Linked DNA regions of Caenorhabditis elegans. The protein of the gene in region 1 purifies or fractionates together with the protein of each later gene. This does not show direct contact. Each region holds a gene or a part of one and is shown in the gene's direction. Other genes may lie near its edges.

Region 1 (16,884 bases):
AATACTACAGTAACCTCTGAAGGCGCAGGTCCTTTTTTTCAAGCATTTCGTGGCGGGACAGCATTTTTTAGCGATCGGCAATTTCAGCAACTTCTAAAAATTCCGAAAATCCAAATCTTTCAGATCTTTGCGATACAGTAATGGATGATTCAAGGATGTGTTCCAAAAAACTTTTTACATCTCATCATCTCCTCGCAGCAAAGTCGACCTTGTCATTGCGAAAAGAGAGTGACCATGTAAATTGTTGAACTTTTTGGCTTCTCCTCCTCCTCCGCCTCCTCACATCAATCTCTTCGTCCGTCCTCCTCTCCAAACTATTTCCCATTGACTAGCTACACTACTACAGTACTCTGAGCGCGCGATATTCGCATTATGATCACTTGGATGAATTCCAAGAAAAAAGTAACGGTGAAAAGAGAAAAAAAAGCGAACGAGGATGCGAACAGAGGTTTGTGGGGAGGACGTTTATTCAACGCGACAAGTGGAATGGGTGACAGATATTATTCTACTAAAGAGATTCCTAAAGAGTTACATGTGGGAAAACTAGGTGAAATCGCCAGCTTAATACAGTAATTGCGCATCTATTACGAGGTATCCAGAAAAGAAATACAGTTAATTTACGGTATTTTGAAAAATGAGCCTGTGAGCGTGAGCTGTCGGCTGCAAACTCAAAGTTTGTCGGATGCTGATTTGAATGAGCTTGTAAAATGTCGGCTGCTTGTTTGCCGTGGCCACTTGTGATATGTCGGCTGCAAACCAATAAAGTGTCGGCTGCTGATTCAAACAAGCCTGTGAGCTCTCGGCTGCTTACTTGTGTTAACTTCCCGTGACATGTCGGCTGCAAGCTTATAGACACTCGTAAGATGTCGGCTGCTTGTTACTTATCAGGAAAAATTACCCGAATTCCTTTAATATTTCTTCTCGATACGGTACATGGAGCACATGATTTTACAGGAAATATTTGTTGTATAAACTGTGTAACCTCTGAACTAAACTAATTGGATGGCAAAAACATATGTTGATATTTATAATTGCAAGTTATCAACAGACATAGAAAATAATAAGAGGGAAGCATCCGATAATTAGATGGTCTTCTTCGAATCATTGAAGTGAAAAGTTTAATGGGATGGATTAATTTATAAAACTTTGTGTGATTTTTTGCCAGGTTTTTCATTGAAATAGTCAAGCAGCCGACACCTCACGGGCACTTGTTTGCAGCCCATATAGTGGCCAAACACAGGTGAGCAGCCGACAGCTCACAGGCCCGTTTGAATCAGCAGCCGTCACTTCACTGGCGTTCGTACGTTCTACTGAATTGCCTCCAATTTACTTGCGATTAGAAATGAACTTTCTGGAAAATTTCGGTAATTTTTTGAAAAATTTAAATCTTCTTATTTCCTTTTTCCCAAAACGTGACCTTTATTTTTCCTTCAATTTTACTTTTCTAATAAAAAAAAAATCAACCCTCAACAAAAAATAAAATTTTCAAATTCATTCCTACAATCTCCTGCATATTTTCTCAAAAAATGCATCTCGTCGATGATGGCAAAGGATTTCGGTCGGAATGGGAGGCATTGACGACTTATAAATTGGTAAGTGTGCTCCATTGGACACTGTGTTCAATTGAGCGCGTTTGCAGATTATCTTATGCGGTGGATGTTGTTGGGCACTGTTCATCGTGTCATTCGGGCTCTACAATTATTGTGCAATTTCGAAGCCACTGCCGGCTGTCTCATTTGATGATGCACTTGGTGGGGTGAGTCTTTGAGCGACCGACAAGTTTTGGGACAGCATGCGGAAGTAACCGACACCTCACTGGTTTAGTCGAATTAGCGCCCGGTAGTCCACGAGTGAACAGAAAGAGCATGCGACACTCTACGGGTCCATAAGCATCTGACAGTTCGCGGGGGCCCATAATGAGCAACTTTGCGGGCATTTTTTTATTAAGGTAATTAGCAGCCGACATTTTATGGGTACTTATTGAATACCAAAACAAGTAACCGTCGCTGTTCTGGACCTCTTAAATTAGTCTTTGTAGAATTTCGCGCTACAGGTCCTTGAACTAAGTTGCGACCGACATCTCACGGGACCCCGTAAATTTCAATTTTTCAGGAAGAAGAAGCTCTGATCGGATCGAAATCTCAGAAATCGCAAAAGTCAACCAAACAAACTGCGAGCTCCCGTAAATGATTCATTGTCAACTTGTAGTATTTTTCCGAATAAATTTCGTTCTCGACTACTACTTCGAATTTGCATACTTGTTGTACACATTTACCGCCCGATAAAGTTTCCGGGTGATGTTTTTCTTTTGAAAAATGTTTGCCAATTTATATGAGTCACTGAGGAATGAGTCAATCTATCCAATTGTCTGGCAGATTTTTTTTTTTGATTTGGGATGTATTGTCGATCACAATGTGATCATTTTATGGCTTGAAAATTAGGTTTTTAATGGAGGTTGCGGTATGTGAAAAAATTACAGAAAATTTTGTTTCAAAACTGTAAATATTTTGAAACGTTTTAGTAATTTATTTGCTTGTTTTTTTTAAGAAAAAAATCTGAATTTTTAAAGTGCAATTTTTTCACTACTTTCGGAGCCCGTAAATTGGCTCCGGAGGTAGATTTTTGCAGATTTTTATTTAATTTTTTATAGGCTCATGGCAAAGCAATTATTTTGAAAGCTGTCAAAACACTTCTTTATCTGAAACTTTATACACTGAAACACTCTGAAAAAATCTCCAAAAAGCAGCAATTCCGCAGGCCATGATGCACTGAAAAATTCCAGATCAACTTTTTTCTACTCAAATGAATCTAAATTTTTTATAGTGGCCTCTGAATCGGTATGGTGCTTTTTCAGAATTTTTATTTAAAATTTTGGGATAAGTAAGCTTTACCTTACCTCACTCACTTTGTCAGATCTTTTTCAAGCTTCAAGTTTATTTTTTATCATTTTTATTTCCGGGTCACATCATTGTTTGCTTTATTACCCTTTATTTGATGAGTAATTGATTCGTGATTGGATTAATAATAGGTAGTTTATTTATATGCGTAAACATTTGTTCAAGTTTCGAAACTTTTTTTAAAAAGTTTTTTTTAAAATTAATTATTTTATTTTTGTAGCCTTTTATTCATCAAAAATTGATATCTTTTTAACAAAATCTTTGAAAAATCAACATAGGAACACCTAAGCCCTACTAGATAAAACTACAGGTGGATAAATACGAAAAAATTGGTAAACAAAAACGAATTTGTTGAGGTGATCGGATTATCGGTAGGCGGAGCCAACACCAGATTTTTTGCGGTACTCTTGATTGAATGAACTTAATAGTTATATAAAATGGTGTACTGTTAGGACTTTATCAAAATCAAAAATGTTTTAAAGTACCACGTGTACCTACTTTTGTTTTTTTCTCTCATTTTTTGAATTCCAACTCATATTACTAAAAAAGCACTGATAAGAGATGATAACAAAGTATATCACCTTTTAAGACATTAGGTATTAAAATATTAAAGTTTAAAGACACGTGTGTTTTTCTATTTATAAATATATTTAAAGTTGTGGAACAGATGTAGATTTTCAGTTTTTCTTGTTTCAACATTTTTGTTTTCAAAATATCTTTTATCAATGATATATCATCGATATGTATCTACATATCACATCCTCAAGTAGTTTGTAGTATTGTAGTATTTGTAGTTTGTAGCAGGGTGGGCGGCAGTTGCCATTCGGCAAATTGATCCCCCCACCCTGGTTGAAATCATTTTGTTAATTTTGGCTGAAAATTCAAACTTCAAAAACCCAAAAAAAATTTGCAATTTTAAAGTAAATCAAATTTTTGGCACGGAACTCAAAGTTAAAATTTTTCCGACAAATTAAAATTCAAAAAAAAATTTAAATCGAATTGCAGGATTTCAATAAGCATTTTCAAAAAAATTGGTTCCTAATTTGTATTAAAATTCGAATATCAATTTTCAAATAAATTGATTCAAAGTTAAAATTGGCTTTTTTTTTTATGCAAATTTTTTTTTGTTCACAATTTTAATTTTATGCATGAATTTTTTATTATTTTTCATGTCAATTCAATAAAATCAAATAAATATTTTCAAACTTCACGTGGTGTCAGAGTGTCTCATTTCGGCTTGATCTACGTAGATCTACAAAAAATGCGGGAGAAGAGACGCCGAGTTCTCAACTGATTTTGCATGGTTAAGACCGTGCTGACGTCACACTTTTTTGGGCAAAAAATTCCCACATTTTTTGTAGATCAAACCGTAATGGGACAGCCTGGCACTACGTGAAACTTTTCTTTTCAGATTTTGATCAGATTTTTGATTTATTGGTCATCCAATTTTTATCACGAAACTTAAAAAGTGTTTTTTTTCTAGCTTTATGATTTGTGAAATCTTTCAAACAAATCCGATTGCTGATTTATTGCATTTTTACAATTCTTTTTAAAGTTTCAATTTTATAGTTAATTTTTATTACAAAAATAAATCATTCAAAAAAATGTTCAACTTAAATTTTTTTTAAATTCTCAATAAATGTCAAACTTGACTATCTAAACTTCCTAACAAAAAACTACATAATTGAAACACTAAAGAACATTGTAGTTTGTAGTTTTGAACTGTACTTTGGTTTGCAGATTATTGGTCTTCAAATGATCGCTGAAAAATTTCAATGTTGCAAAAAAACTTTGATCTCCCTGTTAAACTACTAAAATTTTACAATTTAGGGTAACACTTTAAATTTAGAAATTTAGCTTAATATAGCTTCTTCATTAATTCTGACATCAGAAAGCAATTTTTTCCCATGCTTTTTTGGAACAACTATTATGTATTATTAGTATGAAATTTTCTAGCCTAAATTTTCTGTTTTAACATATGTCTTTGTTTTTCATTTTCCCGTTGTTTTTGTCCCTATGATGCTTTCTATTAATCCTTTAACTCGTAAAGTCAATAGACATGTTGAAAAAAACAAAAAAATTTCTGTTATCCCTAGATTGTCATACAATTTGTTAGGCGAATGGGAAACATTTAAACAAAGAATTTTAAATTCAGAATTGTCTGGAAAACCGCTGTGGGAAAACGGTGAATAAGAACATTTGTGTATTGGTTTCCCAAAATGATGATGATAGTGTATTGTTTTCATTTTTCATTGTATTTTGTAGTTTCAGAATTCCAATTTTCAAACTTCAAATGTGTATAAAAAATCTTACCAATTATCAAATTAATTAGCATAATTTTATCTACATTTCGTTAGTTGATAACATTTTAATCTTTCTCACCACCGCAGAGATACTTTTTATAATGCGTCTTCTATCAGACAAATAAAATGATTTGATGGAATCAGAAAAAAAAACATTTCTCAATTTTCATTCTGAACTCGAAATGATTGAATTGAAAAGATCAAAAAACTTCCGCATTGAATCTTTTGATCCTGATGGTCTTTTGTTAAATGTGGAGTAATGGGGAATTGATTGAAAACTTTTTTTATTGTGTTAAAATGTTCAAATATCATTTTAAAAAACTTTTTTATGTTTAAAATAGTCATATTCCAACACTTTAAAGGTTTGTATTTTTTCTAAAAAATTTTAATTCCCCGCCAAAAAATTTTATCTGAAAATCTAAATTTCCCGCCGAAATTGTGTTCTCTGAAAACTTGAAAAAAATTTTTTTTTTAATTTTGCATCTGGGTGAAAAATAGAAAAAAATGTTAAAGGTATATATTCCCTCACAACAAAAAATCGTCGATTTTTCTATTCCGATACCAATGAAACAAACCAAGTATGTAGTTTGTTCAGTGAGCCACTACTATTTTACAGGCCCCATATAAAACACACTACCTGACATAGTCTTATAGATCCCCCATCCCTTGTATACAAGAATGCCAATCACTTTCTCTCTGCCCTTTTTCTTGTTTCATTTCCATTTATCCCCCCCTGTCCCGTACCCCCTTGTCAACCGGTTATCTTTTGCCCCTCTATTTCTCTTTTCCATCATCCATCCACCCACAATTTTTGACCACTTTGTACGGTGGCAAACCTTGTTCGTCATACTTTTCTATTATCCTTGCCGAAAAATTTGAAAACTGGAAATTGCCGGAATTGCCGATTTGGCAGAAATATCCAAAACCGGCAATTGCCGGAAACGCCCTAGAACTGGTTCAAAACTAAAATTGGAATTTGGCGTCGAACTTTTATTTTGAAAAATTGAACGTTGAGTTTTGAGGCAAGTTTTTTAATTGAAATTCCAATTTTCAACCAATATTTTTTAAATTTAATTTCTAACTTCAAATTAATTAAATTTAAAATTTTGCTCCAAAACTTTAAAAAATTAGTTATTTATTAATTGAAAAAAAATTTGCAAAAATTCTTTTCTCTGTTTGAATTTCGCGCCTAAAATGTAGAAAAATGTGATTTGGGAAATTTTAGAATTTGAATAAAAATTAAATTTCAAATTTTCCCATTATTTTAGGTTGACCAAATTGATCATTGTATTTTTTTCAACTTCCAATAAACTAGTATGTTTAAATAAAATCTGTTTAATTTCCGTAATCTGGTTCAGAACTTCACCGAAAAAAATTTTTAATACTGAACTTTGGTTTTTGTTAATTAAAAAAAAGTTTTTAATTTATTTTTGGTTACCCAAGTTTTAACTGATATTTTATAATTTTGGCAAGTTGAGAAAATATTTAGAAAAAAAATGATGTGGGCTATTGAATTTTTACCAAAAAAAAAACATTTTTAACGATCACCTCACCACGTCAAATTTGGACACCCACAACGACCTTTTTGTAAACACCGAATATCTATGGGTCTATAAAAACGCACCGCCCGAAATACTTACTTACTTGTACTTTTTTTTTTGGAAGAATTCGAAACATTTTTCCTTTTTTTTGTCTCTTTGTTCCAAACACTTGACACTTGCCACTTGAAATTACAATTTTTAAATTTTTTTAACTTAAAAAAACCGCCTTCAAAACCAGGAAAAATTGCAATAATTTTTATGATTTCTGAAATTCGAGATGTTATCTTATTATTGATTTTTGATCACTATGACGTAATATTTCTGTAAAATGTTTCCAGTTTCCCAAAACATTTTTTCGATGGGAATTTGTTTTAGGCAAACTCAAGAGTTCAATGTTTTCTTTTCTTTCTTTGTGTTTCCACTTGATTGATTATAATAATTTTAATCTCGTTTTCTGCGCATTTTTATGGTTTATTGATATTTCTTCCAACTTTGTAAACATTTTTTAGCCACCAATAATTTTTTTTCAGCAAGAAAAAATGGCTGTAGCTCAGGCTCCTGACGAAAAATTCCAAATTCCCACGATTTCAATGAGCAAGATGGATTTTGATGGTGAGAAAAGGAGCTTCGAATTTTTTGTTGAATTTTTGAAATTTCAACTGTAGTAATTTTCTGTCAAAAATTTCAAAAAAAGTTTAGAAATTTTTATTTTTTCATCGTAAAAAAAGGAAGTTTGAAACCAAGAAAATAATTTTTCCCCGAAAAAGTTCAAAATTTTCAGATGTCCCTTCAAAAGAAGACGGTAATGATAGTGAATCGGACACCGACATGGTTACAGACCGAAAAGCCATCGTAATCGCGTCGCTGGTCATGTTTATTGCTGCGATCGAGAATACTGTAGTCGGAATGAGCGAGTGGCCTTATATGAATCAGGTGCGTAGGCTTGGACTAGGCGTAGGCTTAGGCTTGGTCTTAAGCTTAGGCTTTGGCTTAGGCTTAATCCTAAGCTTGGGCTTAGACTTGAGCTTAGGCTTAGGCTCAGGCATAGGCTTAGGCTTTAGCTTAGGCTTAGGTTTATGCCTAGGCTTAGGTTTCGACTTCGGATTAGGCTTAGGCTTAGGCGTAGGCTTAGGCTTAGTCTTAGGCATAGGCTTAGGCGTAGGCTTGGCGTCAGTGGGGGAGCGTTAGCGTTAGCTCCCCCACTGACGCTATTTAGGGTTAGGATTACAGCGTTTTTTCATTTTTCAAAGTGTTCCCGTTGGCCGATCAAAGCGAAATTTAACACAGAGACGTATAGGCCACTAAGAAGCTTCCGTGTAAAATTTCAAATTGATTCCATCGAAACTCGCCGAGTTATGGAGCTTAAGGTGTTTTCAAAATGACCCTCAACTATTTTTTAAAATTTGAAAGTTTGGCGTTTTGTCAGTTTTCTCCCTAAGCTCACGAAAATTTAATGACAGGAGGACGGCAGTGAAATAAGTTTTCTTGTGAATTTTGAGCCAATTTCGATTTACAGGAGCCGAGATATTAAGCTTCAAAATCCGACAAAAGTTCGAGTCCGGGTGCGGGCGTCTAAATTTTTTTATGCCCTGTTTTTCGTTCGCTCTGAAAACGCGCGTGTAACTTGACGGTGGGTGGATGGATTTTGATGCGGTTTGCTGTCTCTTCAAGAAACTTGCCCCACCTCTGTATGCTTTATTTCAGAAAGATTGGAGCTCTTTGAGCCGAGATATGAAGAGTATTTTCGAGTATCCTCCAAAAATCACGTTTTTTTTCTCATTTTTCGCCTCTTTTTTTTGCAGGAAAATTCGAGTTTTTGCGATTTTTACGAGATTTTTTAGCAGTTTATAGTACTCGACGAGATGCGTCGAAAAACATACAAATCATCCAGATCCATCAGCTATGAGCTCTTTTAGAGAGCTCCAAAGTCAAATTCGCAATTTTGACCTCCCCCCTCCCACTTCGGTGTGTTTTTTTCGTGTTTTTTCGCAAACCACCGCTTCGTGCGCTGTTGTCTTTGAGAAATCTTTGGTTCCAAGGTGAAATTGTTGTATAAAAAGATCGTAGGTACATTTTAAAGTAAAAATTATTCCGAAAAAGTGATTTTTTCATTTTGAAAAGCGAGGCAGAAAAAAAATTTTTGATTTTTTTTCCAAAAACTTTTTTTTTCCCTTCTCGTAGGATGGCGGTCGTTTGAGATATTTTGATTTTGAGAAAAAAAAAATGAAATTACAAATATTTCTAAAGCGATAGAGCAAAAAAATTTCGAAAATTGAGTGAAAACTCACTGAGATAACCGACCTTGAAGCAAGTTACTGCCGTTTTTGCGTTGTTCATTTTTCAACTTTGAGCGTTTATTATTCACTCAATCTGAGATCAATTTTAATTTTGTTTTTTTATATAGATTTAAAATTTGACGCTAAATCCGAAAAACTAAGTTTCAAAAAAATTTTAGTGAAAATTTTTTTCAGCACCGCCAAAAAATCGAGTTTTTCAGCACTGATTTTTTCGAATTTTTGCGATTTTTCACTCATTTTTTGATGAATCTTTGTTTTCTTTTCTGTGTTCAATGAACAATATTGATAAAAATGGAATCTATCAAAAAATTTTTGAAAATTTGTTTTTGAAAAAATTTTGTGCCAGTTTGAAATTTTTCAAAAAATTAATTTTCTGCCTCTTGCCCAGAAAAAGTGGTTTGGTCTGGTGTTTCAACAATAATATTTTTGAAATCCTCACACCTTTTTTCATATTCCCTCAAATTTTTGTAACCCAATTCTCACTTTGAAGGGAGATACAGGCGGGAGATACAGTTCGTTGAAGGGTTGGATGCCAACACATCGCCACCCCACCCACAGGGAGACACACATTATATTACCTCCTGCTCTCAGTTTTCAAGATTTTAAGATGATTTTTAAATACTTTATCAGAAAGAACACATTCTCTTTCCTATTTGCAGGGATAGTGGAAGACAAAAACAAAAACAATATGGATTTAAAATCAGGGCTTCGCCCCGATTTTAATAAAATATGTGAAACCCTCTTAAAAAGTTACAAGAAGGTTTTTCCTTGCGCTTGGAGCGCAAAAGAAAAGAAAAAGAGCTATTTAGACTTAGGGTGCCCAGCTGGAATAAAATATAGGAAATCCTTATGACACACTTAAGCCTAAGGGCCCGAAAAACATACTAGGATGCCCAACTGGAATAAAATATTGGAAATCCTTATGACACACCGGCGGTATGGCGCGGCTTAAGCCTAAATAGCCACTTTTATCAAAATACATTTGAGCGAGGCGGTTGTAAACTATTCGTTTTTTAGCAAAAATTTAAAAAAAACTTTATTTAAATTTAAAAATAAATATCATATGTTATCACACCTTAGAATATCCCGCCTTAATTTAGTAATCATTTTAGTTCATAAGTGTGAGAGAAAGAAAAATGGATTAATCATCGGAATTAAATATCATCAGAATGATTATATTCATCAAAGGTCCCACTTTACTTGAGGGTTAATTTGATCGATATAAAATGTTTATCTCATGTGAAGAAAGGTTCAAATTCTGTACCTATGAATGCTGCCGATATTTGAATTCCTATCTCATGGGAAGAAGGCCTTTCTTGTGGAAAGAACGGAGTTGTAAAAAATAATACGCAGGTACAGAATTTGAACTTTTCTTCCCATGAGATAGGAATTTGAATATTGGCATTCTATAACTTCACTAAGAAAAAAAATCTCCAAAGGTTGATCGCAAATATGTAGAGATTGCTCGCATCCCTTCAAATATTACAAAATTTCCAAGTTTCTTAGTGATAATCTTTATTCAGATTTCTGAAAAATATCCACAGACTACTTTTGAGTTGCCTGAGAAGTTAGAGTAAAACGCGAGCAGAGCTCAAATGTATTTTGATAAAAGTGGCTATTTAGGCTTAAGCCGCGCCATACCGCCGGTGTGTCATAAGGATTTCCAATATTTTATTCCAGTTGGGCATCCTAGTATGTTTTTCGGGCCCTTAGGCTTAAGTGTGTCATAAGGATTTCCTATATTTTATTCCAGCTGGGCACCCTAAGTCTAAATAGCTCTTTTTCTTTTCTTTTGCGCTCCAAGCGCAAGGAAAAACCTTCTTGTAACTTTTTAAGAGGTTAGGCTTAGTCTTAGGCTTAGGCTCAGGCTTTGGCTTGAACCAAGATATAAACTGACAAACAGAATAGCCTTGCAGATCGACAAGGAAGCCGACGCACAATTCTTCGGAAACGCCACGGCCGCGTCAAAACTCTTCCACGCCATTTCGGCACTTGTCTTCGCAATCTGGTGCCATCGATTTCAATCATTCCAAATTCCTCTGATCGCCGGACGGTTTATCGCCTTCGGTGCCTGCCTACTCTACCTATGCGTCGAAATGTTCGGTAGTGGACGGAGATATGTGATGGCCTTGTGTTATATTCTGTTTGGAGTTGCTTCGAGCAGTTCCACAATTCTTCGCGCCTATGTTGCTGCGATTTCTAGGCATGAAGATCGTCCGCAGGCCTATTCCGGATTGAACGCGGCCACGATGATCTCGATTATTGTCGGACCAAGTTAGTTTTCATTTTTATTTGAAAACATATCAAAATTTGAACTCAGTTGGTTTTTCAACCGGCAAAAAATATCAATTTTCAAGCAAGTTATACCGGTTTGAAGTTGGTGGCCTAGAAATTCAAAAAATTCGTGTTTCTAGGCCACCAGAATTAAATAAGTCATTTCGGTGCAAATTTTTGCGACGAGTACAATGATTTTCTCAAATTTTGGAAATTAAATTTTTACACCAAGTTATAGCAGTTTGAAATTAAAACTTGATGGCCTAGAAATCGCGATTTTTGGTTTTTAGGACACAAGTCGATTTTTTAAAATAAAAACTATCGAAATAAGTGTCTTAGATTTAATAATCCAGAATTTGTGCGAAATATTGTGAAAATAACACAAAATTACCTTCACTGGGTCCTGCCACGATCGAAACATTTCAACTACAGTACCCTCGGGGTACGGTAGCTGAAAATTTTTCGGTCGTGATAGGAGTCTAGAGAACTTGAACAATCGTGGTATTTCACAGTTGAAGAGGTGAATTGGTTTAATTTAATTTAAAACAATATTTTTCAATTAGAAAAAAAATAAATTTATGATTTTCACGTGATTTTATCGATTTCTACAGTAATCCAAGCTGCATTCTCATCGATTCACTATCCGGGATGGGAAATCTTCCCAAACGTCAAATTCCACATTTATTCGGCGCCGGTTTGGGTTGCCGCCGCAACCAATTTCATCTCCATCACCATCATCAAATGCTGTTTGAAAGAACTGCCACGCCGTGCAAAATCCGACATGAGTGAGTCTTTGTAACCGCTTTGTGGGAGGCGCCGACACACCGGTCCTGTGGTGTAGTGGTTATCACGTCTGCTTTACACGCAGTAGGCCGCCGGTTCGATCCCGGCCAGGACCTATGGTTTTGCCGTTTTTTCATCGGCTTACTGTAGTTTTTCTTAAAAAACAAAAAAATTCCAGAGAAAAATCAATCATTCCTTACGATCGCTGGAGTCAAATCGAGAATCGAAAAGGTTTCTCAAATGAATCTGAACTGGCGAATCGTCGTTTTGTGTTGGATCCAGAAAATGAACGCGACACTTTCAGTCGTCACGCTCACCACGTTAACCTCTGTAATTTTCATGACAAATTACGGCTGGTCAGGTGCAAAAACTGTGCTCGCCATGTCGATAACACTTGGAGCAGTCGGAATTCTAGCCGTTATTGTCGCCGGGCTCTACTTTTTCTGCAATCTCGGCAATTTGTAAGTCTACTACTTGGCATTAATTATCATTATCTCGGTTATTTTTGAAGTTAGCGAAAAAATTTTTAACTACAAAATTGTAGGCAAAGAAATAAGGAATACTTCCGTAGTTAAAAGTTTTTGATAAACCCAGAGACAAGCGAGATATCTCGAGATATAGCCTTTTCGCGGCAAGACCCATTTCTCATTTTCCAGCCTCCAACAACGCATCGCGTTCCTCATAGGTTTGGTAATCTTCATGTCAATGTACGTATTCACCTATCCATGGACACCTGTGAGCAATCCAGTTCCCCCTTACAACGCCCTAGCCGATGTTGGCTGTAACTCGACGACCTATAGCTGGTGTGACACATCATATGCTCCGGCGGCTCCGCTTTTGCTCATTGTGATCGCTGTTGTCATGGGAATTGGGATCCCGCTCTCGTCGGTGGCTCTCGATGCGATCTACTCGAAAACTCTGGGACCTATTAATCAGGTAAGGGCTTCAAAAATATTGGAAAAAATAAACGAACATTATTTTTTTAATACTTTCTTTTTTAAAACCATACCTTTTGTAGAGCGTAATGCAAGGAGCCATGATCGTCGCAGAGGACGTTATTCTCATTCTGGGACCAATTTACTCGTCGTAAGTACCTGAAACACCGCATCTTACGCGCAAATTTCTTTGATTTTCAGCGGAGTTTACACGTATTCCGGTTTTGAGACACTTTGGACCATCAATGGAATTGTCGTGGCACTTGGATCGATTTATTGGATTGCGAATTTCTCGAGGCTTCGGCAGTATTCGTAAAAGTGGAAGATTTTTTTTCGAAAATTTGTTGCGAACGTTTTTTGAATTTTATCACGTTTTTTTTGTATTTCAATTTGATGAGATATTCGGGTCTATTTCTGTATTTTTCTGTGCTCTTAATTTGTTTTTAATGCGATGAATAAAATTTAATTATTTGTATTTTTGGATATTTCTGCTCGGCACACTCCTCCTCGTGCCGCTCTCTTGTCAATGCCTTGTCGTTCAATTTCGGTGACACCGTTGTGGCGCAGGCGGGTAGCGGCTGCGCGGCCGTGAAACACGCCGCGGGTTCGACCCCCCCCCCCCCGCCGCTTTGCCGTTGATGATCAATTGAGCATATCACTGACTGTTGGTGAGGTGATTTCATTAGCTGAGGCTTTTTACACTTTTAACACTTTTTCGTTGAAATCAAGACAACTTTATTGATTTCTCAAGATCTCTGTGAGATAGTAGTTGGTTCCGACTCTCGGGAAGAACGCGATTCGGAACGATGCATGCGATTCGAGTGCGGCGAGATTGCAGAATGAGGGTACACTGTGTGGCTTTTTTTGAAGGCGAGGCGATCTTGGTTGAGGCGGAGCAAACGGGAGTCTGATATATAGAGATGTGGATGTATATGGATTACTGTATGTACCTTGAATATTCAGCGGAATGCTTGATCGGGAAGATTTTAGGGTTGCCGGGTCAATCTTCAGGGATGGGACATCGAATAGCGAATCTTCTTCGTCGGTGCACTGAAATTTAAAATATTTCGGATTTTGATCAAGAAATTTGAATTCAGCTCAGGTTACTGTAGCTTTTCGTGGTGGGACCCACATTTTTTTTTTCAAACTCAATTCAAACTCAATATACTTATACTTAAAGTTAATTTTACACGATTTTACACGTACATAGTAGTCCTGTGGGCTCTTCTTGCCACGCCGAGTTTGTCGCACACGAGATCTCAGTTTTTCCACGTATTTCGGCGGCGGAGACGGCAGAATTTGCAGTCCGTCGAGCTTCTCGTCATCACTGAACTTGTAGTTATCACTGAGAGGTGACTCGTGTTCTGGAAAATTTGAATTTCGCGGGATGGTTCTCAATGGGGCGCACTTGCCGTCGTCCTCAGTGATCGATTCTTGTGTGGAATCCAACGTGGGTTCGCTACCGACCGCGGTTTTCAAATCCTCGTCTTTTCCGTGATTGAAAACGAAAAATTTCGAAAGTTTCTTCGCCTTTTTGTCCTTTCCATCGACTTTTTTCACAGTTTTTCCTGGTTTTATCTGAGAAATTTGAATTTGCCACCCATTAGCACTAGAGCGCACTTACCTTCTTCTCGTCTTTTTTCGGTTTCACAGCGACTGGCAAAGTTTTTGTGTAAGCTTCTGAGGGGTCAGCAGATCCCTTAAACTTCCAAGCCGTTTTCAGGCACGAGACGAGTGCGAAACTTGTAACGAGAAATGGGAAAGTTACGATTAGAAAAAACTGATCTTGCTGCATTTTTGTTGTAGAAGAATTGAATCGAAGGTTCGAGAGATGTTTGGAATTAGAAATAAATTTTTTTAACACTTTGTTTTTTTTTTGTTGATAATATTAAAATCTTTTTCCTTGTTTTTTTCTGTGGTTTTCACGATTTTCTTCTTTCTTTTTTTTAATGAATTTTGAATTTTCAAATGATTTATTATTTACGCTAAACAACACACGCTACGATGCTCCGCTGTTATTTCGGAGCATCGTTGGGCGCAAATTTTTATTTTTTATCCATTTTCCTTTCTTTTTCACTAAATTTTTCAAGTTTTTTGCACTTTTCAGATGACATGGAACACGTGCTCACTCTGTGTTACCTCTGAGCTCATGAATACGCTGGATGAAGCGAAAATTCCGTTGCAAAAAGTAAAAATCGACAAGAAAACTGAAAACCCAAAATTTTCCTATTTTCAGGCTGTCAACTATCACGAGCAGTCGCAAAATCGACAATTTCGCATCACACTCATCACAAAATGTCTGGAAAATCAAGAAAATCCGGAAAAATCTGAAGTTTCAGTGAATTTTTTCGTCGATTTGAAGGAGCTCGTCCCGAGTTGCGCTTATTTTGAGAAATTCGATGGCGTAAGTGTTTTTTAAAGTGATTTTTCAGAATTAAAGTGAATTTTTTACAGCTCAGCTACGTGGAATTCTCGACAAACTGCAAATCCACGTGGATTTCGGCTCCGGAAAGTGTTGCGGCACCGCACGAGGATTGCAGTCACCGCTTCCAATCGCCGATCATTTCCAGAAATTTCCACGCGTTTCTGGACTCGGTGTGCCCATCGCTTTACGGGATTCGCCCAACACCTCTCACTTGTAATATTTTTAGGATTTTTTGGAGCGAAAATTGGAAAAATGTTGGAAAATCACTGGAATTTCAGCAGGAAATATTGGATTTTGATCGAATTTTGCAATATATCGGAGAAAATTTCAATTTTTTGGCATTTACAATTAAAAAAAGGCTCAGATTGCACTTTTGAGTTGATTTTTTTTTGAGAAACTATGTATGTGAGAAATGGATTTTGACGCTATTTTTCAACAGATTTTAGCTAAAAAAAAAAGACAAATTTGTTTGATTTTCAACTAAAAATAGCTCATAATTGATTCTTTTTATAGTTAATAGAGATTTTTCTGCACATTTCATTGAAAAATAGCAAGAAAATAATTTTTTTTTAAAACTAGGTTTAAAAATCAGTTTCTTACGCAAAAATATTAAAATTATGGAAAAATGGCCTAAAATTTATTTTTTTCAATTAAAATACACGCTACTTCAGCTAAAAAGGCTCAAAATTGGATGAATTTTTGAATTGCCACCAAAATGAGATCTGCAACCAATCAGCGATTAGCTGTGGGCGGAGCTCATCGCTGATTGGTTGCAGCACTCATTTTTGAGGGAATTCAAAATTCGCGTGGTTTTTTTTGTGGTTTTATCAAATTTTGGGCTATTTTCAGGTATTTTGTAGCAAAAAAATAAAATTTTCACTTAAAAAATCGCAAATTTTCAGTGTCAAGCATCGTCCCCGTCCTGGATATGCTTTCACATTTCCACAGTGAACCACTTCTCACCAACTGTGAGCGTTTCCTAATGTCTACAAATATCGGTCATTTGGACGGAAATCATTTGATTCGACTTCTCGACAAAGGCCTCTGCGTCAGCCTGGACCATCGGATTTTGGGCCGAATTTTGTGCATTTGTCTGATGAGCCCACAGGCGAAAATGTCCGATTCGTCACAGGAACTCGCCGGCACTATTGGATCCGTTTTTGCGCAGGCTTTTGTCGCGTTAGTATATCAGAAATTGATGGTGAAATGTGAAGAAAATTCGAATTTATTGATTGAAAAATCGAAAAAATCAATTTTTGATGGGATTTTCATGGAAAATTTGAAAAAAAAACTAATTTTCCATAATTTTTATGAATATTCGTACGCTTAATGGAAAAATCGAACAGATTTCGAATTTTTCCCTCAAAAAATCCGAAATTTTAGTTTTTTTATTGTTAAAAATGTATGTTTTTGAGGGATTTTTCATGAA
Region 2 (16,916 bases), on another chromosome or scaffold:
GTTGAGATACGTCAAACAATTGAACGTAGGAAAGATCATTTGGCCCGTCTGAATCAGCAAATACCCAGACAGAAGAACGTCTCTCAGAAAGAAGTACGGCTCCAAGCATAGCTTGCTCAATTTGAATCTGGCAAGATGTCTCATCAGCAGCGTAGTTTGAGAAGTTTCCATTTAGATTGGTAACCCCAGCAACAAAGTCAGCTGGCCTAGCGGAGTTAACGAGCAAATATGAAGCTATAATTGAATATTACGACTGTTACCCTAATCAAGTAACATACTGTTTGAATTGACTGCGATCAAAATCCACTTATTAATCCATTTGTCAGATGCTTGTTGCATATCACGTGTCATTGCTTGAACATTGTCTGCAATTTTTTGAACAGCTACCTTCATAGTTGATCTAGTAGAAACAACAAAGGCAATGGATTGTCCATCGAATGAAACGTCAGGATTGTTGTTGAAAGTGGTGCACATGTCTGAAATATATAAGATCCCTATTTTAATTCAAATTTACACAGTTCATACATTGTTCGCAGAAAGTTCCAGCAGTTCCGACTGGGCAAACACACATTCCTCCTCTTGGTGTACCTCCGTTTACGCATTGAATATTTGTGCAACTAAATTGATATATGAACGTCAATCAAGTTTATGTTATTTTCACTTACTATTGTCCGTAAAAACCTGGTGGACAGATGCAAGTAGCGTTATTTGTTGGATCGGTCACTCCGCCGTTCTGACAAGAGTTTGGTGGATACGGTGTCGTTGGCGCTGAAATATGTACACGTTTCTTACTCAGTTTCCGACAAAAAAGTTAGCTATTGCGCCAAAAAAGTGATAAATACAATTTTTGAAGGCTTACTTCCAGAGCAGAAACCAGTGGTAGTTCTTTGGATGGTGAATCCCTTTCCATCGTCAGCATAGACAGTAGCATAGAATGGTTGAGACATGAAATCACAGAAGTCGGCAGCTCCAAAATACATATGGAAACCACATCCGTCTCTGTATTTTCCACTGGAGTAGTACATTGGTTTTTGGTATTTGTTGTCCACATTTACATTAGATGTAATGGAAATTTCAGAGAAAAGACGGAATGGATCGGCTACTTTGCCCTTAAGTCCTGTTAGTTGAGCAACAATGTGAGAAGATTGTCCGACGACTGGTTCCGAGTCACTAGCATCATCATTGACTCCGACGCTAGTTCCAATGAAAAGATCATATTCTGAGCGGGCTTGAACACGGTACGAGCACGGAGTATTTTGCTGCAAACAAAAACATTTCAATTCTTTCAGTTAAGCTATGTAGTGAGCAAAAAAACTGAATTATTCATTTCAATAGTACTTACCACATTTGACACAACTGTGACCAAGTGCTCACCAACAACGGGGTTTGAAATCTCATACAGTTGAGTAGTTCCACTGTCGACAATCTTCAGAAGAGTATTGGTATTTCCATTTGGATCTGTGACAGAAACTGTTAACTGTTGTCCGACAGCGAGAATCATGAGCTCAGTGGTTGAAGTGTCAACGAAGAAAACTCTCGTTGGAGTGGCGCAGCTAGCAAGATCGTCAATAAGTACCGAGTTCATTTTGTAGGCTGTTGCTTTGATCACGTATTGGAAAATCTGAACAAGCAAAATATGGTGTTGTAGGATAAATTGTAAACTAACTTGTTGCAAAGAGTCAACAGATGGTCTCAGGATAAGTCCTCCACTGTAGTAAGAAGCGTATTCGATGGCTTGGAAACCTTGGCTCATTTCATCAAATGCACAATTAGATTGAACAAAGTAGTGAGTGTATATCTGAAATTGCAACTTCTACTTATGTTAACATCAGTTATGTAGTACCGGGAACTTCATGCGAGTGTTTTGCTCAATGACGGTTTGCCATTTCTCGACATCACTAGCAGTTGCGTCAGTGAACAAATAGACTGGAGATTTTTGATAGAGAGCGACTTCGTTAAAAATAGAGCCGATCGCATCAAAAGTAGCATCCGAACATTGTCCAACAGCAGTTGAAGCTTGATTGATGGCAGCCAGGAAAGCATTTTGGTCAAATGCTGGGTAGTAGGTGTTGGTGTAAGCACCGTTTGCAAATTTAACAATGACAAATCCTTTGTATACTTCGTAGTTGTTGCCGTCGTTACTTGTTAGTTCTTTGTAGATAGCACTGGAGATCGCATTTAGGTTTTGATTCATCGAAACGGTGCTTCGAATGATAACAACCAATGTCTTGTAGTTGGTAAGATATTGTTCCCAGTTCAGTGGACAGGTAACTTGAAAGATATATTTAATATATAAATATAACTGAAACTTAACATACCATCTTGACAGTTTGTTCCATGGTATCCAGCAGCACATTCGCATAGATTACCGTCTGGATCTGGGAATCCGGCGTTCATACAGTTAACTTTTTCACATTGTTTTCCATTAAACAGCTCAGAGCAGAAGCATGTTTGGCCTTGGTTAGCAACATTGAGGAGTGTTCCATTGTTGAAACAAGTTGTCACCGGAGCTTGGGTCGTTGTTGGAGGAGCTGGTGATGTGAGAAGTTCTGAAAAAAGACTGATTGCAATTTGTAGTTAACAGTTATGAAACTAATAATTCTTGAACGCCTGAGCTCAATAAACTCATGACACTTTCAGCTTATAGAAAACTAATCATTCAAATAACAAAAGCGTTGTTGACTTACGCATGCATGAGAATCTTCCGGTTCTTCTGAAGTTAAATCCGTTGGCGTCAACTCCATCAATCTGAAAGAAAACATTAAACATTTTAATTTGAACTTCGTAGTACATGATAGAAGTAGGCATTTCCAAGTTGACATTGCCACTGTCCTGCATAGTATTCATACCCGCACTGATACCTGAAAAAATGAATGGGGAAAGTGATTTGCTTTTATAGGGGTGTTAATGTTTTCAGGAGATAAATCAAGTCTAAATGCTAATTATTTCCACAAATACAGTTCCCTACCTTCTTGTGAGAGCTGCTCTGTAGACTGGAGCCAAAGAATTGCCTTGGCGAATGGTGATAGATTGAACTTCTGCAATATAAAGATTTTGTTTTATATTTAAAAAACGAAACTAACGAGCTGGTGAATTGTCAACGTGAGCGGCCATATACATCGGAACACCGTTGATTGCAGATTCACCATATGGAGGGTCGTCTGACTGTGGAGAATACACAAATCCATCCACAGCTTTCAATCCGCTGGGGTCACCCTAAAACTGACTTCATGTGCTTTTGTATTGAAATTTATATGGAAATTACTTAAAATTGAAAACTATAAATTAAATATGCTTTATATAATGCTTTATATGTTGGAACTCTCGCAGTTTTTATAAATAAATGGCTGCTGGCACAAAATTTATAATTGCAAAATTAAAAATTGGTTGTTGGTTAATCAAAGATGGTTAATCAGAGATAAAAAACCTTTGTTTTATTTTATTTTTATAAAAACGTTTTTTTTTGCTAGGAAAACTACATTTCATAAAATAATCTGAATAATGACATTCCTTATCAATGTCTGAACTTTTGAAAACTTCCCGGTGCACTTGAAGCAAAATATAAGTTAGTATGTATGACATATACAATTCATTTGGGCAGTATGGAACATCGTTGTTTTAAATATAATTTGTTCTTAATTTTAGTAGACAATTCCAGGTTTTAAGAATTTCAGAAATTATGTAACTTTAGGTAAGGTTCTTTTGATGAATTCACTATATTATTCATTGATTTGATCTTTAATAACGACATGGTATACAGTATTTTTATAACGCGCCATTTTATTTCCAATTCCACGTTTTAATTCATTTTTAGCGCGCCCATTTTGATATGCCGAACTCGTAAAAATGTAGGGAGGCAACTCATGGTTATCAGTTTTTCATCTTGTTACGATGGCAAATGTTGAACATTTTGAATGAAAATGTGCGAAATGTAACTAGAAGGCAGACTACAAAATCTCACTTACATTAACTTCAATGATGCATTCGCTTGTTGGAACACCCTGGTTATCAATGGACAAGGTATATCCACCAGATGGAAGATCGGCGTAGACATTCAGAGAATAGCTATCGTCGGCTACGGAGTAAGATGGAGAAAATACAACTCCCTTTGCATCGGTCATATTCACATATGGAATTCCAGCAGCCGAAACATGGATTTGAATGGTTTGGGTAGGCTTGTTGCCTGTTGAATCGACAGGGATGTAAAATCTTGAAAAAAGAAAATCGTTTTGAAGCAACTAAATTAAAACTCATGCTTACGGTCCACCACAGCTTCCTTGGATAAACATAATCTCAATACTGGAAGTCTGTCCAGATGTTGGTGCAGGTTTTGGATCAGTACAGATTGGGTTTTTGCATCCATCACCAGTCCATCCATTTTCGCATTGGTTGGCAATTCCAAGAACGGCAAAAATCGCACGTTTTGCTCGAATATGGAAAGCATCAGTATTTGTTAGTTCGGGATAATAATTTGGTAGGTGATGAAATACGGAATCTGAAAAAAAAAGTTGTTTTTGTAAAATAGATTTAGTTTGAGTTACCAAGATTTGGAGCAGCTGCAACTGCTGTTACTAATAAAAATAAAGCCAGTAGGAGCCGCATCGTGTGCAGTGGCGACTCGAGCAGCAGCGGACTGAAACTGGAAGGGCTTGTCTTGCCCTATCGCATATGTAAGACCGTGAAAATTTTTTATTGTTTGATAAGCCAATTTTGCTATTTGCCCCGACGTTTTGCCGACTGCCACATTTTTGCCTTCAAGAACTAATATGGTTATCAAGTGATTGCACATGGCACCACGACGACAGGCGTGTATAACGATGGTTTTTTGATAATTCTGAATATTATTCGAATGAATAAAGATTATGAGCAAAAGTAAACGTGGGAATTTACTTCACCTTTAGATATTATTGCTCAAAGCAACATTTACAACAATGAAATGAATGAAAATATTTGGCTTAAAACATTAAGTCTGTTTGGAAATAACAACAGTGTAGTTCGGTCTACTGGCTTTACGTTTTACTTTGAATTAGACTATTATCATTGTTGGGAATGTTTACTTGTTGCTTGTGATTTTAAAAACGGTTCAGTTTTCAAGTAATCAGATCGATCTCGGAAACCCTGAAATGCAGATTTGTCATGGATATGTATCAAAACGAATGCTATGTGGTTAATATGTTGTACTAATTCGGTTAATATATAAACTTGGTTGTAATAATTCTAAACGCTCTTCGTGCATACTTAGATGATTTTTTGAGATCGTAGCATTTTAATTGACTTTTGAACAGATTGTAGTTGTTTTTTTATAAATTTCAAAAATTTTGTAGAAAGTATTAAATAGTGTAGGGCAGAGAAAGAATGTTATGAAAAAGATTGTTTTATATTTCTTTGTGTTTTATACTAAAATTTGCATAATCACAGTGTTCCTCGATATGTTTGTGCAATTATGATAGTTCGCTTTTGATCGCATACCGACTCGTTGGAAATATGTAGTTTCCTGATATGATTCAATTTCTTATCAGACCTATCAATTTAAAATTGCCAACAAATTAATTTACGTAAGGAGTACACACCCAAAATGGAACTCAAGTCAAATTTTGTAGCAATGTTTTGAAACAATTTTGTAAAAAAATGCTTATTAGAAACATTGTCTAAAAATATTTAAAAATTATTTGGCTAAAACTAAATATTTTCCGCTCAGGCCGACTAACATCAACCGCACCATGGAAAGAATCAAATATCTTTGTTTATAAGATATAATTTGTGTACCTTCAACTACATATGAACACACCCATGTTCGAAAATGATTACATTACTGCTGGCACTAAATATCTGCAAATGCAATTTTTCAATTATTTCTGAATCAGTAATAGTGATTTCATCAGGTCAAGTGAGTGTCGTCTGTGAAACTATTGAGATGAGTAAAAGAAAATTTAAATCTTACTATGATAACGAGGATTATGTTCCGGAACTCAATGAACTTAACTTAACTGAACGTTAATGAACTGTTTTGAAGATTGCACTTAAACTGTACTGAATACAGTTGCTCGTTTCTTTAAACTAATCTTCCGATTAAAATAGTTTTGAACTCTTGAATAACATACCGTATTTCCTCTATTAGTCTTGCATGCGAAAATAATTTTCAATCGTCACATAGGGGTGCAAGACTAATAGAGGAAATACGGTAATAGCGTAACAAGCATAACAAATGATTGAAAAATTGGATTTTTGGCTAAAACTACTCCTGTAGAGCCGAAAGTATCGAATATCGTACTAAAACTGGTCAAATCATTTTGAAATGTTTATATTAACAGACAAAAACGACAAAGAATGAGTTTGTACCAACCTTTGTAAAAAGAAAAGCACAGTCCCCCACAGTGTTTAAACATAAATGGTTTAGAAATGTGAACAAAATCATTTCCAATTGTTTTTTCCACATTTTTAAAATATTTTCAGTCAAAAACGTGTTTGCGTCGCTTTTCGACTACAAAAAAACAATGTTTTAAACGCTTTTGAGAACTTTTACTATAATATTTTCTAATTTTAACACCATTGTAGTAAGCTTCGATAACTTCTCTACTGACGCTACTTCACCTTAGTTGAGCCCAAAAGTACCTATGCTTCCAATAAAGCATAGCAATGCTGATATCATAGTGATTATCAGTTTTTGATTTTCTGAACAACTTTGCAAAGCTTGTTGAGACCACACATAATATTTTTACACATTTACAATGGGCATCAAGTTGTTTCATTAAATTCGCATCGTTATCACACTTACACCGCAACGGAAGCTGATATGGATCTGTAGCAAGTTCAACTAACAAATTATCATCTTAAGTGTCACTTTTCAAAATTTCCGTAGCTAGTGTAATCCCATCGAATCAGCTGTTCGATCTTTCAATTAAAGCTCGTTGCTATCCTTTCCCTTTTACGCACCCGTCAACCTCTCATTTTCTCGACGTAAGACCAAAAAAAAATGATGGGAGGAGTTACTGACGATGAGTAAAGAGAACTTGCCTTTTCGCAAGTTGACGGCCTCCAGTGACGGCGCCCGCATTTGACGTTACCCCTTGTTTGCAAAGTCTACGGAATCCTTCCGTGTCTTAAGAAGTACTTCCATACGGTTTCACACATCTGTTTTTGTGATTTATCCCATTGGGTTCTTAATCACTGATCATCTCCCTCAATCGTCTTCATGTGGAACACCGCCAACCAGCATGCTTATCCGTAGAAACGTGTTTCTTTCTATCTTATTTCTCCTAATAATTGTTATTGATAGCAGGTGTGAAGAAGAAGAGAATCAAAAAGGTATACATAATTAACAATTGGCCACGAATAAAAATTTTTTAAAAATTATCTTAGTTAGTTCATTTATCTTTTTCCTTACAAAAGTCTTACTTCCTTCCTCGTTTCCTACATCCATTTACCTACTTGTGTGTTCTTACCACTTTCTGATATTCTTTTTGAAGGTTATTTTTCTGTTCAACAGGTCTAGCACAGAAAAACGTGTGATAGATATGAAGAAGAAGTCAAAGATGAGACAAGTGTGAACATCTTTATCCGGATGTCTTCTTTTTATTCCTTTTGGTGGCTAATGGCTAGAGTAATGTGTTGAATGACAGATATGATGTTTATGAGTGAAAATACATGCAAGAGAAAATGCTAATTTTGCTTTTTACAGGATTCTCGCCACCACCGGATTGCGACTGTCCTAGCGTGATTCGTCCTGTTTGCGGGACCGACAACGTTACTTACAACAACTTGTGCTTTTTGCGATGTGTTCAACGCACAAACGAAGGTACTCTTTGTTTTTTAGATATGACCCCTATGTTACGATTAATGACTTATTTTCACAGATCTTCTTTTCTTTTACAACGGCACCTGCTGCGACAAAAAGGAGTGTGAGAAAGTAGGAACGCCGATATGTGACAACTTCGGTTAGTGTTTGAGAATTAGATTGGAAAAAAAATCATTTGCACTCGTTCAAATAATATACATATTAGAAAAAAGTGTGTAACGTCTAGAACTAATCGCATTATAACAGAAGTTGTTGAACTTTCAGAATTTTAATTAATTTTGATAAAAATATATTGGTTTCATTTTCCATTCAGTTGTGAAGTATATATAACGTAATTGGGGTTAAAACAATGACATTCTGAAAAAAAAAACGTACGTGGAGTGCATAAAAAACTGATCCTAATAATATTTCTCAAAAAAAAGTTTTTTATTAAATAAAAACTTGCAAACGGTACGCTAGTTTAAAAATCGAATATGTTCACGGAGCATCCGATTAAAAATATTCAAACCTCTTTTTTAATGTCAATATTTGTTCCTTTTTAAAATTGAAAATTTTATTAATGTTCTAGATGGCAGAACTAAACTATAAAAACTCATTGTGATAAACTTAGTGATTGTAACAAATAAATCAATCTTTATAATTTTATTAATGAAATATTTAAAATACTTTCGAACACGAAAGAAGTTTTATAATGTTTCAACATTTTGACAAGAATTTTATACATAATATTTCTGAAAACAAACAAAATTATTCTACTGAATACTTTATTTCGAAAGTTTAAAATAACTTCTCACATGAAAGAAGAAGTTTCCAAAAATTATTGTTTACCCTGTAGTTTCTAAATATTTTCACAGAAGATTTTAATTTTTAGGAGAAACACATATCAATGATTGTCATTTTGCTCAATTTCAATGTATCATGAAGAAAAGCATGGGCTTGTCGTTGACGAAACTACACATGGGCCGATGTTCTTCGAAAGACTGCAATCATAATTGTACGAATACTGAATTCGACCCGGTATGTGACACGAATGGGTCTGTGTATCGAAATCTGTGTGTGTGAGTGGACAGTTCGATCACCGTCTGATAAACATGTTCCGTTTCAAGGTTCCAAATGCGAAGATGCGAATTACAATTAGAGAGTCAACGAATTCAACTGGCAGAGGATAGAAAGTTTTGTTTGAGGAGTCGAGGTAGGTGGTAGGAATGTGTGGAACGACAATCACATGGACTTTGGTGATCTGATTCAACGGTTTAGAGACCCAGCGATTCAAATTGGCCGGAGTGGAATCATACACCTCCTACGCAGATGAACCTTATTTGGAAACGACGGAAGCCAGCACTGTGGCACCCGATCTCACAACAACTGCATCCACAACAATCCCGATGAAATCTGAAAAACCATCAAGAAATGAGACTTTTATTAACAAGGTCATTGCAAAAACCTCTGCTTCAAAGCATCGTGAAAATCATTCACCTCTGACGGTTAGTTTTTCTAAGAAGCGGTAAACTCTGTCAGTAATCGGTGTAGTAGGTATGCTTAGAGGCGATAGAATCAAAGCCATTATTCAAACTGATGCTATCTCCGATTACAGCATTTCTTTTTCGCTTTCAAAAAAGAAAGACCAGGCTGATTTCACAAAGACTAAATTGTAACCTTACTTGACATGTTTTTTTCTTTACACGGTAAAAATTTAAGCAAACAAGTCTCGAGAGGCAGAAAATTTGAAGAATGTCAAAGATTTCGAATTCCTCTTTCAGCGCAACGATCTTAATCGTGCATGCAGTATCAAAGAGTGCGATAAATCATGGGATCCGGTCTGCGACACTAGAAATCGAACTCATAAAAATGTTTGTCAGTTCAAGTTTTTTGCTTGCAAGGTGAAAATAATTTATTGGAGATAATGCTCAAACGTCACATTTCAGATCAATAAAATAGATGGCAGTGTAATAGATATTGCTCATTCAGGAGCTTGTAGAGCAGTGAGTTTGAAGGAAAATTTGGATTCAATAATGTTTTCATTTTAGAGAAAAAGTACATGTATAACATGTCCAAAGGATGAGAAAAAGATTCCTATTTGTGATAATCGTAATATGGTATGTATTGAAAATAAAAAATTAAAGTTTCCCAGTTTAAGTTTTGCTCGTCGAGATACCTTTTCTTTTCCTGTACTCTAAAACTAAGTTCTTAATCCCAAACCAATATCATAGTAGAACTTTTCAAAAAGTGTTTGAAACATTTTTATTGATAGTGAAAAATACCAATTACTGAGTTTTTGCCACTTTTGGAGAAAACTATAGCACTGCTGCATGTTGGAATTTCTACAAAGTTTGAATATTAATTTTTAAACATAGATCATAAAATTCAAAGAAATCAGATGTTTTTTGATCGACGACTTCCAAAAAAAGTGAAAAACTGCGATTTTTCCAATTTTCAGAAAATCATAAAAGTAATAAAACAATATATTTTTAAATTATGCTATTTGGTCACTGTAAAGTCATAGGCAAGTTTTAAAGCAATGCTTCCACTTGCGCTACTAAAACTTTAAGAACCTATGCAATACTTAAAATTAAACGTCTAATTATACTTAATCTCTAAATATGCTATATTTAAATTCTGTATACATATGTGTTTTGAAGTTTATATTTCAGACGCATCCTACTCTTTGCTCTTTTATTCAATACAATTGTGAGGCCAGAAACAATGAAGATGAAGAACGCGTGCTTGTTCACATCAAATCGTGTCATGAGAGAAGTCCTCAGTTTACTCTTAAAGTACTGACTGAAATCGAGAGAAAAGTCACGTAATTTCTCAACTTCCAGGACGAAATTTGCCCAAGGACTTGCAGTCGCGACGTGAAGCCCGTTTGCGATGAAGCCAATAACACTCATCAAAACCTGTGTCATTTTCAGCAATACAATTGCAACATGCGAAAGGTTTAAGTGTTATTGAAAAATTGATGCACTTACCAAACATTTCTTCAGCTAGGAATTCGCTCGCCGTATTTGAGATATTTGCGGCCGTGTGTCAAAAATAGAAAAATAGATAATGCAGTGGAAAATGTGGAGATGAGGGCAACAGTTTCAAATGTTGTAATAAAAACTTCCAAATCAGTTGCTGAATCAACCACTACTTCACAGTTAAAACAAACTGTTGCATCTGAAAAAACTACATTCATTGTAAGCGCATTTGAGAAAGTCTTGGTAAGTGAAAAAAATCGTCAAAATCGAAAAATTGTTTTTAAGAAAAGTACCACAAGCACTCCATCACCCTCATCAACAATCGTGACAACGACAATTAAAGTACCAACAGTCACATTTTCAACGCTTCCGGACCCAACGACAAAATCCATTTTGGAGATAGAAATCGAAACCACAACACCACTTGACGTAGCTTTCTTCGATTGTCCAAAACCTAATTGCCCAACAGATGGACAACCGGTATGCGACTCGGCAGGAAATTTGCATGGGTAAGCAATTACAACTATCTCGTTGAAATTTTATTGGAATATCATCACACTTTTTGTCAAATCAAATTTTGGAAATGGGGTTGAAACATTACGAATTATTGTTCAAAATGTCATTGGAAAAATGCATATTCACTGAAAAATGTGTTGAATCTTATGGGGTAGATGTACCACAAATTATCACCTTAACTAATTGTTTAAAATCAGGTTTTAACTTACCATATAAAATGTTTGTATACAGCTTTTACACAGTAGCCAATACTTCAAGAGTAATTCTTGATGAGTTTCTTGTACAAAATCAGTCCAACAATTTCAATAAACACATTAATAATTTTATTGAAACAGCATTTTCACTATTTCAGAAATCTGTGCGAGTTTACCTACTCTCGCTGCATTGCTGCTAGCAAAGGACATCAAATTCACATTGCTACTGAAGAGAACTGTATTTCAAAGGAAGCATGCCAAATGCCGTGCACTGATGATAAACACCCTATTTGTGCATCTGATTTTTCCACTTATGAAAATCTATGTCAGTTTAGAAAACAGAAATGTTTGGATTCTGAATTAGAAGTTTTATTCAAAGGTTACACTTTTTGGAAAAAAAAACATTCAAATAGTTGAATTCAGGAAAATGCAGCGAATGTCTAGATTCTCCATGTGCTCTCCCAGCAGAAAATTCCCCGGATGAGTCTTTTGTTTGCTTGGAAGACCAATCTACAAAATCACTGTGTGAATATCAAATGTTGTCTTGCATTTTTGAGCGCGGATACGGTGTGAACCTAACTGTTCAATATGTAAGTTAGGAAAGAAATTGTTTCATCAATTGTTTTTGATATTCAGATTGGAGTATGTTGCCCTCCTGTTGAGTCATGCGATACTGAAAAACCGGATCCAGTCTGCACTGATAGTGGAGCTACGTTTTTGACAGAATGCGAACTAAACATCGAAAACTGCAAGCTGAAGAAATTAGATCAACCAAAGCTTGTCGTTGTTTCACAAGGGATTTGCGAAAAGTAGGAAAATTATGAAAAATTGAAATGCAGATCTTGTTTCAGAGATATGCTAACCGATGACTTTTCAAGCAATCGAAATTTCCAAAAACCAAACATAGAATTCAAAAGAGAAAATACTTTTAATTGTTCTATGGAATGTGACAACTCATATGATCCTCTATGTGGAACTAACGGAGTTACTTTTACCAACGCATGCTCCCTTCAGAAAGAGATTTGTGAATCGGCGAAGTAATGAAGTTTGATAGTTTTTCAAATATAGATGATCAGAGTTTCAGCTCGACGATTGAAGTTGCTTACACCGGAATGTGTTGTGATACCAACTGTCCGTCCGATTTCAGCCCAGTTTGTGATAGTAAAGGAAGTACTCATCAGAACATATGCCATTTCGGAGTCAAAAGATGTATTGCCGAACGAACATTTGGGGATGTTCTTACAATTGACAAATTTGAAGTTTGCAATGAAGTCAAGGAATGTAACAACGCGTGTCCAAAAGAATACAGCCCAGTTTGTGCATCAAATGGGCAGAACATTGTGAACGAGTGTGAACTAGATAAAATTCGATGTCTTGTAGAAAATAATGTGACAACTGGAGATAAACTGGTGAAAGATTACGACGGTTTGCAATTTTTCTAGTTTCAAATAAAAATATTAATTTCAGGAGAATGCTGTAGAATCGAAAATTGCGACATTTCTGTCTTCTCACCAGTTTGTGATACTGAAGGAGTAACCCATGCGAATATGTGTCTCATGGATCAAAATGCATGCATTCAGATGAAAAAGAACAAGAAAACCATTCAAGTTTCCTATCAGGTAAACTCTGAAATAAATTTTTGAACGAAAGGTTTCCAATGCCATTATAAGGACAAAAATATTATTTTTTTTTTAACTTTAAATCAGATTAGTTACATTAATTAAAGGGACAATGCTGTAACCAGCCATGTGATGAAGATAAAACCCCAGTTTGCGACGGAACAATTACACATCCGAACATTTGCAGATTCAGGTAGGCTCATATATTGTCCTATTTTCTGTGACCGCAAATACTGACACTTTCAGAATTGCACAATGTGAAGCAGAACGAGTAAACAAAACGCTCAGCATTGCCTATTCAGGAGAGTGTTGTCTTCTCCCAAAAGGAGAGTGTGAAAGTTCTGGAGCAGTTTGTGATTCAGAGGGTCAAACTCATATGAATCATTGTGTTTATCAACAAAGAAGATGTATGGCACAAACCATATCTCAGAAGACTCTAAACATTGTTCATACAGGTATATTAAAGTTTTTTCAAACCAACAACAGCAAAAAAAAAGAGCAAAAAAAATGAAGTTGAAATTTTTCGTGTACTCAATATTAACTCATTGAATACACATGTTTAAAATGGAACATGTACATATACCTGACAATTTGATTATAATGAATCACCTTAAATAAAAAAATAAATTTCAAAATTTCAAACAGATGCAACTTTTCAGGAGAGTGTTGTGCATTAGCTTCGTGCCCAAAAACCGGACAGCCGGTATGTGACTCAAGAGGTCGAACTCATGATTCTCTTTGTCACTTTCATAACTCAAAGTGTATATTTGACAAGATTCATACTCAAAACACAACGTTAACCCTGGACTACCAAGGTTTGTTTTCTTGTTACTTCAATACAACTATTGAACTACTTGTTTTCAGGAAAATGCTGTCCCGCTGGATGTACAGATGAGTTGTCTGTTATTTGTGACCAACATGAGAACATATACCGAAACTCGTGTTATTTTAATCTGAAAGCATGTGAAACGTGGCGACGAACACAAGACGTGCTTCTTGCCACACCCTGCCCGCTATTACGAACGTGAAGATTCCCAATCAAATTATAATTTAACTTTTTTGTTTTATAGTTGTTTTTTTGTAAATAAATGGTGAGATGTTTGGAAAAGGTTGACATTTAAACGATTTATTCATTTACTCGATGTACTTGCCACTGCCTTTGGGACTACCAGTTCAATGTCTTCATCTCGAGGGAGTTCATGCCTCGGACTTGAACTTCTTGACTTTATATCTAATACAGCAAGCTTTGATTCAACTTCATGTAATCTCATTCCCAGTACTCTGAAAAAAAAACAGTATTCCTTATTGAAACGTTGTATGACTCCCACTTGTTAGCACGACGTGAGTGTGCCAACGCCATTTGCTTATCATTGCACAAATCGAGCAGAATAGTTGTTATCGCACGATAATCGGACTCGACGAGTTCGATGGCATGAGAAGCTAGCAACTCACGAACTGAAATATGCCGGAAAATAATGGAATACGAAGTACAAAAACTGTGTCCAAAAAGTCTCACTTTGTTTCATATTGATGACTGCTACACTTGGTTTGTCATCTCCTTCGCCAGCCTTTGGAGATCTATTCACCATCGTCTTGAAATAAAATTTTCACATAGGCGATAATGATTCCAAAAAGTTACCTGTACATTTACAGCTTCGGCCATTTGTTTGTATTTGGCAAGTGTCATTTTTATGGACTCACTCTCTTCTTCTGCAGTGTTTAGTTTGGCTTTCAAAAACCGGTTTTCGGCCACTAAACTGTCCAAATCTTCGGCCACCTAAATACGCCAATTAGAATTCAACTCAAAAACAATCCGAATACCAGGTGTATAAAAAAGGGAATACTTGACTTACCCTTCTCGGATCTCCATTCAACAAATAACTCAACTCGTTGCTCAATCTTGCTACCTTCCGCTGCATTTCGTCGCGTTCCATGAGCAGCTCTTCTTTGATTCCAAGCATAGACCGGAGATCCGATTCAAGACCTTTGCACTGAAAAACAATTATGGCAAACCAAATTGAAACGGAACAAACCTTTGCCTGAAGTTTTTCATGAGCTTCCAGCTTTGAAACTTCGTCATTTTCCGTTGAAAATGAATTTCGAACCGGTCCTCCCATTTTTTCTACCTAAAAGCCATAAACATTGAAGCTAATTTTAAAAAATTAAGTACAAATTTCGCAAAATGTTTTTATCGAAGATTGTTTATAAAACAATATAATGGCTATAAATTAAATTTATGCTACATAATAATATTAGACTTTGCTGCAAAGTCTCATATTATTATGTATGAACTTTTTAAAAAGATTAAAAGGTATTTGTACCTGAAAAACGAATGAATCAATTTTATGAAATAAACTCGTTTTTTTGTCAAGATTTTTTGTTTCTGTTGCAATAAATCTCTCAATATAATCATTTTAAATTAAAAAAAAACGAAATGAAATAAGTAGAAATGTTTCTCGATATTCTGTAAATATTCAAATGTTTACCTCAAACTGAGCAATTGTCTGTCGAAACGTTTTGCAGTCTTTTTTCAAGTCAGCTTTTTGGTCCAACAATTCTTGCCTGTCGGTCCTTAATTGTTGATTTTCTCGCTTGTACTTTTCAATATCTTCTATCAAATCCTGTCGCTCTGTTCCGAATTTTATTTTCATGTCGTTCTGACACTAAATTAAAATTCGTTAAAAATTTGATAATGATTTATTTAATGAAGGTTGACTTACCGCACATACTAACTGCAATTCTCTTTCAGATCTTTCCAAATTTCGTTCTAGTGTTTCGACTCTGGCCGCAAGTCCCTTTTTCTCATTCTCAGATTTCTCCAAATCTTGTCCGAGTCTCACGATCGTGTCTGTTTTCGCACCGCATTTTTGTTGGAGAGCGGTAAACTATAATTATGTATTAAACATAGTTATAGTCAGAAAACGATTTTGCAAAAAAAATATATAATTTTTTAATAAAAAGTTCTTACTTGTTTCTTGAGCTCGAGAATCTCCGCATTATTATTTTCTTTCATGAAGATGGCACAGCTCAAAGAGCATTAGAAGACTAAATAAGGACAAAAATCGATATGCACAGAGGGGGAAGAGAGGGCCTCACTGCTCCTCGCACACGTTTTCCATGACCGCCTTTCATGCATTGAAAAAGTTGGGCGAACATAAACTTTCGAGTACGAAATGAATTTCTGCTGTATGATATCTTGAAGCTTCTTTTCCAAACAACGAAGTTTAGTGAAAATAAATTTATTAAGTTTACCACTTGACGAAATAAGAGAAAATAAGAAAAAGAAGCCCAACTACCCCAGAATAAGTACAAAAAGTGTCAAAAATAACAGAAAATGACTAGCTATCACAGGTTTAGAATAAAACATTTAAAAAGTTGGATTGCAGTTAAGATAATACAAATAGAATTAGTGAATGTAAGCAGATGGGTTCGACGCGTATTCCGGAAGATGAGCAGGTCCATAGTTTTCAAAAAGCTTGCGCATATCAGCAACATGAATCAAATCGTCATATTGCTAAAAATAAAACAAAATAAATTATTGTTCAACTTTGTAAACTTACGTCGTGCTCGTGGACGTTTTCTTGTGTGAGAGTAGCATTGCGGGATCTCTGAACAAATTAAGTTACTAAGTTATTGAAAAAAAAACAAAATTACCGGAGTTGGAACAGCAATATTTCCACCAACAAGAATTGGAGCAGAAACAGTGGAGACAGATGACGAGCGAGAAGAGGCAACAGATGAACAAGTTGATTTGCGTGGAGCCTTAAAACTCAATTTTTTTTTTCTTTCAAATAAAGTCATTTTACATCATTAATTTGGATTCCTTTTCCAA

What was found.
Region 2: the proteins of W03C9.6 (region 1) and F29G6.1 fractionate together in Caenorhabditis elegans (co-fractionation; one large-scale study listed by BioGRID). This does not show direct contact.

Annotation. Positions count from the first base shown.
Region 1 is NC_003280.10:11,947,237-11,964,120, forward strand, and holds W03C9.6 (MFS domain-containing protein), read left to right. Parts: upstream 1-7,271; 5' UTR 7,272-7,280; coding exon 7,281-7,353; intron 7,354-7,522; coding exon 7,523-7,674; intron 7,675-10,954; coding exon 10,955-11,312; intron 11,313-11,923; coding exon 11,924-12,097; intron 12,098-12,138; exon of another isoform or gene 12,139-12,212; intron 12,213-12,273; coding exon 12,274-12,556; intron 12,557-12,751; coding exon 12,752-13,031; intron 13,032-13,113; coding exon 13,114-13,181; intron 13,182-13,231; coding exon 13,232-13,346; 3' UTR 13,347-13,503; downstream 13,504-16,884. Other genes in the region: W03C9.8 (uncharacterized protein), read left to right, coding at 1,527-1,592, 1,640-1,756, 2,113-2,190; W03C9.1 (uncharacterized protein), read right to left, coding at 13,777-13,937, 13,981-14,080, 14,237-14,394, 14,443-14,608, 14,655-14,825; W03C9.2 (uncharacterized protein), read left to right, coding at 15,138-15,218, 15,267-15,434, 15,485-15,668, 16,358-16,634.
Region 2 is NC_003284.9:11,495,248-11,512,163, forward strand, and holds F29G6.1 (Kazal-like domain-containing protein), read left to right. Parts: upstream 1-7,019; 5' UTR 7,020-7,214; coding exon 7,215-7,305; intron 7,306-7,678; coding exon 7,679-7,795; intron 7,796-7,853; coding exon 7,854-7,934; intron 7,935-8,666; coding exon 8,667-8,853; intron 8,854-8,901; coding exon 8,902-8,987; intron 8,988-9,052; coding exon 9,053-9,279; intron 9,280-9,555; coding exon 9,556-9,675; intron 9,676-9,720; coding exon 9,721-9,777; intron 9,778-9,822; coding exon 9,823-9,891; intron 9,892-10,446; coding exon 10,447-10,569; intron 10,570-10,617; coding exon 10,618-10,731; intron 10,732-10,779; coding exon 10,780-10,998; intron 10,999-11,040; coding exon 11,041-11,264; intron 11,265-11,623; coding exon 11,624-11,844; intron 11,845-11,888; coding exon 11,889-12,055; intron 12,056-12,101; coding exon 12,102-12,274; intron 12,275-12,316; coding exon 12,317-12,502; intron 12,503-12,549; coding exon 12,550-12,890; intron 12,891-12,932; coding exon 12,933-13,084; intron 13,085-13,191; and 9 more. Other genes in the region: hrg-11.3 (C-type LECtin), read right to left, coding at 1-234, 279-476, 526-617, 666-768, 860-1,259, 1,343-1,621, 1,667-1,798, 1,844-2,271 and 8 more; ccdc-149 (Coiled-coil domain-containing protein 149), read right to left, coding at 14,215-14,365, 14,413-14,539, 14,601-14,676, 14,724-14,861, 14,938-15,075, 15,118-15,210, 15,571-15,747, 15,805-15,969 and 1 more.